Linked DNA regions of Arabidopsis thaliana. The protein of the gene in region 1 interacts with the protein of each later gene in a pairwise test. Each region holds a gene or a part of one and is shown in the gene's direction. Other genes may lie near its edges. The genes, in order: AT5G60142 and AT1G66420.

What was found.
Region 2: the proteins of AT5G60142 (region 1) and AT1G66420 interact in binary tests that used the Arabidopsis thaliana proteins (3 or more experiments, as listed by UniProt).

What each region holds. Positions count from the first base shown.
Region 1 is NC_003076.8:24,215,714-24,219,642, reverse strand, and holds AT5G60142 (AP2/B3-like transcriptional factor family protein), read left to right. Parts: upstream 1-1,893; 5' UTR 1,894-2,051; coding exon 2,052-2,064; intron 2,065-2,178; coding exon 2,179-2,249; intron 2,250-2,290; exon of another isoform or gene 2,291-2,329; coding exon 2,330-2,948; coding exon of another isoform or gene 2,949-2,974; exon of another isoform or gene 2,975-3,034; coding exon 3,035-3,126; intron 3,127-3,217; coding exon 3,218-3,463; 3' UTR 3,464-3,696; downstream 3,697-3,929. Other genes in the region: AT5G60150 (uncharacterized protein), read right to left, coding at 62-225, 329-411, 532-785, 883-1,080, 1,258-1,432.
Region 2 is NC_003070.9:24,774,955-24,778,625, forward strand, and holds AT1G66420 (DNA-binding storekeeper protein-related transcriptional regulator), read left to right. Parts: upstream 1-2,229; coding exon 2,230-3,078; downstream 3,079-3,671. Other genes in the region: CAM4 (calmodulin 4), read right to left, coding at 558-587, 756-831; AT1G66430 (pfkB-like carbohydrate kinase family protein), read left to right, coding at 3,446-3,596.

The sequences.
Region 1 (3,929 bases):
TAACAGAACTAAAAAGGATATGAGATGAATAGTTTTTATTTGCTAACTGAAGTGAACATACTTAATTGAGTAGGTTGACTGTTTTTCGCTTTGATTGGACTTTGAGTAGTCCTTTTCATGTTGTTTCCAACTGTAACTGGGTCAGATTTGGTAGTAGGAACTTTAGATATGCTCAGCTCCCTGCAACGTGATGTTGTTGTATGCACATTTGCAGGTCTTTTCAGGGTGCAAGATGGTTAAGGTAAACAAGCAAAAAGAACACAAACAAGACCTGCAAAGGATATCAAGATTGCCTATACACTCAGTACTCAAAGTAAGAAAAGGATATGAAGATGAAGGAGGAGGCCGGGGACAGCCACTGCGCTTGGAACCACTCCTTAAATCCTGAGCTGAGATAACTTTTTTCTGGGCCTATAATGCAGATATTCGACATTTAGATAGACTGCGCCTCAAAATATATATATTTACGCAAGGAAAGAAACGACTTATGACCCTCATTAGCTCCACAATATTTAGGTCCAGTAAACTCACCGAGGAAGATTGGGATTTAGATGGTGATCCGTACTTGGGCATTATGCCACTGACAAGCTTCTTCTCTCTGTTTTTACTATTCACAGGCAAGTCGTTAAATAAGTTTTCTTCAAGTGCTTGTAGTCCTGGTGAAACATTACATTTGGAAGCTGACATTGACTCTCTGTACTCTTCCTGAATGGCAGCTAACCGATCTCCACCAAGATGGCAAGCAGTTCCAGTTATTTTAGATAACTCAGATGAATCCAAAACACCTGGTTCATGACCATATCACACATCTTAAGATTCTTAGTAACATAGACCAAATCTTTGACCTTTACTACTAACAGGAAATTGGTAAAAAAAAGTCACCTTCTTCCGTTGAAAAAGCTCTATCCCATGCTAAACTCTTGCGCAAATTAAACCCTGCATTCTTTTTCTTCTTCTTCATCTGTTGTCGCTCCACACTCAATTTGGGCAATTCAACTTTAGCATTCTCCTTTCCTACACTATCTGTATCAACTGAAGCGCATGGCTGCTCCCTGTTGTTGCTGGTGCCTGTTACTCTTCCTGCAAAAAGTATTAACCTTCATATATCCGCAGAATACACAACATTTATACTAATTTGCTATTTTATCAAATTAAGATTTAAACAATGCTAATTCAGATGCTTAAACACTCTAACAAAGGGAGAGAGAAATTATCAGAACGAAGCTCGGATCGAGAACGAGAAATTGAAGCGCTTACCAATTGGGGAAAAAGGAGGCCGAGTAGGAACGATACGACTAGATCTAGGGATTTGGAGAGGTGAGCATTTCAAATAACTCTTTCCTCGGCTCGAATTAGTTTTCTTCGGCGTATTCTTCAGAAGCCAATTATCTTCGTCGTCTTCTCCAGAGATATCTAAGAGATCCTTATCCATTTCTAGCTTCTCTTTCGAGCCCAAGATCTGACGATTAGGAAATCCGGAATCCTATAGCTAGGTTTTTTCAAACTTACACTGAGAAAATCTCTTCGGAAGTTGTAGGCGAAAATCCTAGTCGGTAAATCGGAAATTGTTCGGCCGATGGAAGAGACGACTGTTGATAGAATATCCCGGCCTCGTAAGCGGGAAGAGGTTGAAAAACTTGAAATTGAAAGAAGATCGGACCAACGTTCTCTATAATCTCAGGTTATTATTGTCATTTAAAGCAAATCGATTGGGCCGGACTTTAAAGCCCATTTATTTGAATTTTAAATTCTCGTTCACCCTTTATTGGTTTGGTTTGGTTAGGATAATATTTTTTCGGTTTGATTAAAATCATATCGGTTCGGTTCATGGAGCATTGAAGTAAAAGTAGTTAGCACATGTTTTATTTTTCCATTTGTAGCAATAAGCCTAGAAGACAATACAGTCTCTGTGTTATGCTACAAAAGGCAAAATCTCTAAAGCAAACCAAAAGATCGGAGATCTATTAACAAAGCTCTTTTACTTTTCTATTTTCAAGAACCATTTTCACCTTCACTTTCACTAAAAGAGTTAGGGTTTCAAAGAGGTGAAGATGATGAACAGAGGTTTCTTCTTTAGACTCTTGTTTTTATGTTAAGATCTTTATGCTATTGTTTGTTCTTGATTCTCCAATCACATAACCTATCCTATGTTCTGATTTTTTTCTTGCTTTGGAACAGGAATTTCTGTGGATGATTGTCTTCCAAAGTTCTTCAAAGTGTACTTACCTGATGATTCCGGAGATGATTTGGTAAAAATACACTTCTCTCTCTGTTTTTGGTTATATGTAGATTTTTAGTTTATTGAAACTTTTAGATCCTTCCTCTTCAGGAATTACCCATCTCTTTCAACAGCTTTTTACCAAAGTCGTTGCCTAAAAATGTAATTGTTAGAAGCATTTATGGAAACATCTGGAAAGTGGCGTTTAGGAAGTTTTGTGGTGATAGTGAGAGATTTGTTATGGTTAATGGGTGGAAGAAGATAGTCAAGGACGAAGATTTGAAAGGTGGAGAGTTCTTAGAATTTGAGTTTGATGGCTCTTGGTGTTTCAATTTCTGTATCTATGGTCGTGCAACGTGTAAAAGGCTTAGAAGTTCAGTGCAAATCACGGTTCTTGATGACAATGATGATGGTTTTAATGATGATCAAGATTATGGGGAAGAAGTTAAATCTAGTGAAAATTTCATAGTTCTTGATGATGATGATATTAGTGATGTTCAAGATTATAATGAGGAAGATACATCTAGTGAAGATATTACAGCTCTTGATGATGCTGATAATGATGATATTAATGATGTTCAAGATTATGTTGAGGAAGATACATCTAGTGAAGATATCATAGTTATTGATGATGATGATGATGATGATGATCAAGATTATGGTGACGATGATCATGCTGATGTTGAGAAAGAAAGATGGAGAGGAGTCAAAACAGAGAAAAAAAAGAAAGGTATAATAGAAACTTTTGTCTTGTGAAGTTAACTGAGACTGAGAGCATCACTGTCTTTTTATTTTCTTGCGTATAAATTTTGATAGGTTCTTCTGGAGAGCATGACAGACAATATCTGGATAATCACATGAACCCTTTCTTTACAGTGAACCAGCATCGGCAAATAAAATATAATATGGTAAGAAATGTGAAGAAAGTCTCATGTCTTTTTGCATTTTCATTAAAATAATGTACCACTTCTGTTTTATGATGTTATCTTTGTAATGCAGCTGCGCATACCAACTAAGGTCATAACGAAGTATGGCTTACACTTCCCTGAGTTCATCAATTTGATTGATCCACTCGAGAAAAACTTTGGTAAATTGAAGAGGAAAGTTAAGGGTCAAACAATCAAGGGATTCCGTAGTATAATCAGAAGGAATAATGTGAAGTTGAATGACAAGGTGATTTGTGAGTTAGAAAAGGAGATGGATGGTCTTGTTCGAGAAATCAAGGTCCATGTTATAAGAGGATGATCTCTTGATAAGGCTTTATGCGTTAACTCCAAGACATTATCTATTTTTACTTGAGAGTTTTTATATGAGTAGAGTACTTGGTTTTATGAATCTTATTGGTTTTCTCGGAACATAATCGATGTTGATGCTTTCTATACACTTCTTGATTTTGTTTGTTTGTCTGAAACATGAAGTGCAAAAGACGATCAACACAGTCTTACAATAATAATGTATACTAGAGCTATAGATTTTGGGAGAAATCATTATGAATGGTTCACACATCAGGGCTGTTTAAAACCTGCGAGTTCATGTAAAAAGAATGTTATTACTCTCTATGTGATCATAAGAAAAGCATTGGCATAGGAGGAGAATAATACTAAGATACTTGGAACTCTGCCACTTAACACTATCTCATTCTTCTTTCAAGTTTCAAGTTTCTTGTTCAAGAATTGAGATGTCACAAGTCCTTCTTTCTCTAATATACCCT
Region 2 (3,671 bases), on another chromosome or scaffold:
ATCTTTCATTATGGAAAACTCATGATCTGTTCTAAAACATACATGACTATACATGACTGTTTGCTTCTCATACGAAACTAAATATTATCAGAGAACTTAAACCTGTAGCTACATACCACCTTACAAGTAGATTCCCATAACAAAGTCAGATTGATATACATACGAAACATGAATGAAACCAGGTCTTTTGTTTAAACGTTTTTGAGCAAAAAAAAGCCACTAATCAACCAAAAACATGACCATTAAATGAATCTCATAAAAACACTAGAATCTGAATATCTTTGGCTATGGAAAAAGCATGACAGGTGCTAAAACTAAACAGTATCTTTGAACTGAAATCTATAGCAATATACCTACTTAAACTACAGAAGAATGACACAAAAAGACGATTCAGAACAAGAATCAGGAACATGATATTCTGCACAAAGCTAGTAACATTTCAATATAAGTCACCTTCAAAGAAACATCAAAATCACAAATCCATGCTTAGAGATGGAACAAAACTACATCAAAAGAGACAATCAAACGATTCAATCAACAACGAAGTAACAATTCACCACACGAATCACCTGAATCAGAGATCGAATCTAGCAAAACCAGAGATTAGACCAAATCCAAAGCGTATCAAAGAATCAGACTCAAATATTTTCTGAATCTGAAGCTGATCGCAGACGAAATCGGAAAAAATGAGATCCGTTATGGTTTTAACAACGATCAAGAGAGATTTAAAAGAAGAAGATGAGATTGAGACTAACCATCTCCATCTTTGTCGAAGAGGCTAAAAGCTTCCTTAAACTCAGAGATCTGTTCATCAGTTAGCTGATCCGCCATAGCTTCTTCTTCTCGTTTCTTTGGTTTTTCGTTTCAGAGAAGAAATGATTTTTTTTTTTCCTGAAGTCTCCGAAGCTGTGAAAATATCTTAGCGACCGACAAAAACAATTATACGACAATGAGGAAAAAGTTAAAACGAAATTAAATGTTTACGGAAGATAATAATAATAATTTACTAGTTGGGTTTTTAGCTAATCATGTGATTAGTGGATGTGGGACTTGAGAGGAAGCCCAAAGGGCCCTTGGATACACATTAAGGCTTAAAAATGTTTTAATAAAACAATTTACATATTTAAAAAGTAATGATTTTTCAATTTTGAATGATAAATAAGACAATCCTCAATAATACAATAGTACTTAAGTTTTAAGCTGTAAGTTTTCCAAAATTACCATTGTTTTATTATTCAGATCATCATTTTATTTGACATCCCTGAAAAGCAAATATTTACTTTTGAGTTTAAAATAAAATTGTGTTTACTTAAAAACAGTTTTATCCTAAAGAGTAAAGACCTAATCTTATAGTAAAAGTTGACATTACTTACTGTATAATAAAAAAAGGATTGAACTAGTAGTTTCTAAAGATAGGAACAAAACAACTGTTCAATTTTCTTCAGATGAAGATTAAAATCTGTTATTATTTTAAATCTCGGGGACTACAAAATTTACCTCCAAATCTATGATTTACTAAAAACAAAATTAGTTAAGCCAACATTTTAACTAACCTAATACTATCATTTGAACACTTATAGGTATGTTAACTGATTTCAAAATTATCTATATACATCTTTTGTAATGGCATGTTTTCCATCAATGTGTGTGAACATTGAAAACATAAACTGTTGAATATCTAAGGTCATCTCCATTGGTAAGAAACCTTCAAAGTTTCTCAAAAAAAAAAATTACTAATATTTTATTATGACTTAATTTTGTAATTAATATATTCTTTTCTTTTTTTCAGTTGTCTAATTACTTCAAAATTTCTCTGCACAGAAACGTTTCTGTAATTATGTTATTCTCTCTCCTCCTTTATGAATTGTTTATATTATATTAGTGAAAAGCAACTCTCAAAATTGTAACCGATGGAGATGATCTAACCTATTTACCAAAAACAATTCAGACAAAATTTATTTTCGGTTTAGTCGTTTTTTTTCGTTTTCTTAATTTCAAAATAATTTACTGGGAAAAGAAAAAATCATCATTACGCTCATGTGAAAAAAGATCGTTCATTGTATGGGTTTTGGAAGTTAGAAAAGTAAGCAAGCAACTTATACCCTATTGGCCATTATATCTACCGAGAAACAACAAGCTCTTTAATTTATAAATTCGTGTAGTTGCCTTAAACAAACCCCAAGCTTTCATTACACACCACAACCAAAATCGTAGTTTGAAGATTCTGATATGTCAAAGAAGCATCTCAAGCCGTTGGAGACATGTTTTGAAGATGAAGAAGATGATGTTATTTATCTTCCTCCAGGTCTTGTGACCGGTGCAACTTCCAAGAAGAATGAGGAGTTTTGTGGCGGCTCCGGCAAGGTACAACCGTCTGAGATGAAGCGTCGGAGTGAAGGGACCTCAACGGACATGACTTCGAAGAGAGCCAAGAAGGTTTCAGCAGAAGATGAGAAGAAAGTTGGAGAATGGACAAAAAACCCATATTTTCAAAGACTGTGGAGTGAGGAAGATGAGATTGTTATGCTACAAGGAATTATTAAATTTGAAGATGTTACAGGGAAAAGTCCGTTTGAGGATAGACACGGGTTTATAGAATTCGTCAAGAACTCCATTAGCTTCGAGGCTAGTGTGCAACAATACATTGGCAAGATTAGCCAATTGAAGAGGAAATATACGAGGAAAAGGAAGAACGGTTTTTCTGAAGGTCATGAACAGAAATGTTTCAAACTGGCCATGTCTATTTGGGGAACTAAAGAAACGTCTAAGAAGACGGACTTGTGCTCTTCACCTAAAGGTAAAAAAGTTAAAGAAGAAGATGGAGATGTGACAAACTCTGATTGGTTTGAGAATTCGTTTCTACTTCCATCAATTGAGAGTCTTGGTGTGGATTCGGTTAAACGTAAATGGAATGTTGTGCCTATGGAGTTTAAGAAGAAAATTGAAGAGAGGTTGGAGTTGTTGGAGGCTGATGAAAGTGAATGCAAGAAAATGGAAGAGATGTTGAAGGTTAAAAATAGCGAATGCGTGAAACAAAAGACTAACCTTTTGAATGAGGTGATCGATGTGATGACTTGAGATTTTAGATATGAAGTTTAATGTTTTCTAGTGGTTTATCTTATGACTCTTTTATGTTGGATTATTTCTTTATATATCTTAGCATAAAAAAAGTTCATTTTGGTAGAAAACAGAGAAAAAAGGATTAATTAGTAATTACGCAATCTAATCAAATTTTAAAACTTGTGATTATGTTAATAGCGCTATAATTAAAAACTCTGATCCGTTTAAAATGAAAATGACTTTTCAGATTTCCTTTGGTTGCTCCGCTACTTCTCACTGTCGCTCTCTCAGCTTCCTCTCTCACAATCATAAAATAAAAAACAAAAAGTAGCTTCTCCAAGACGCGGTTCCCAATATCTGCGTTTCCCGTTTGCGTTTTCCGGCAATGGCTCTCCAAGCCACTACTACTACGTTCTGCTTCTCCGGTCCAACTTTCCGATCAACTCCTCACTCACTCACTTCAAAACGTCCTATCTCCATCAAAGCTACTACTTCTTCTCCTTCAAGACTCTCCAATTCACGATCTAATCTCAAAGGTTAAATCTCAAATAATTTCTCCATCACATTTTGGTTTTCTTTACCATAAATTCTCATAAAATGTTGAAATTGCA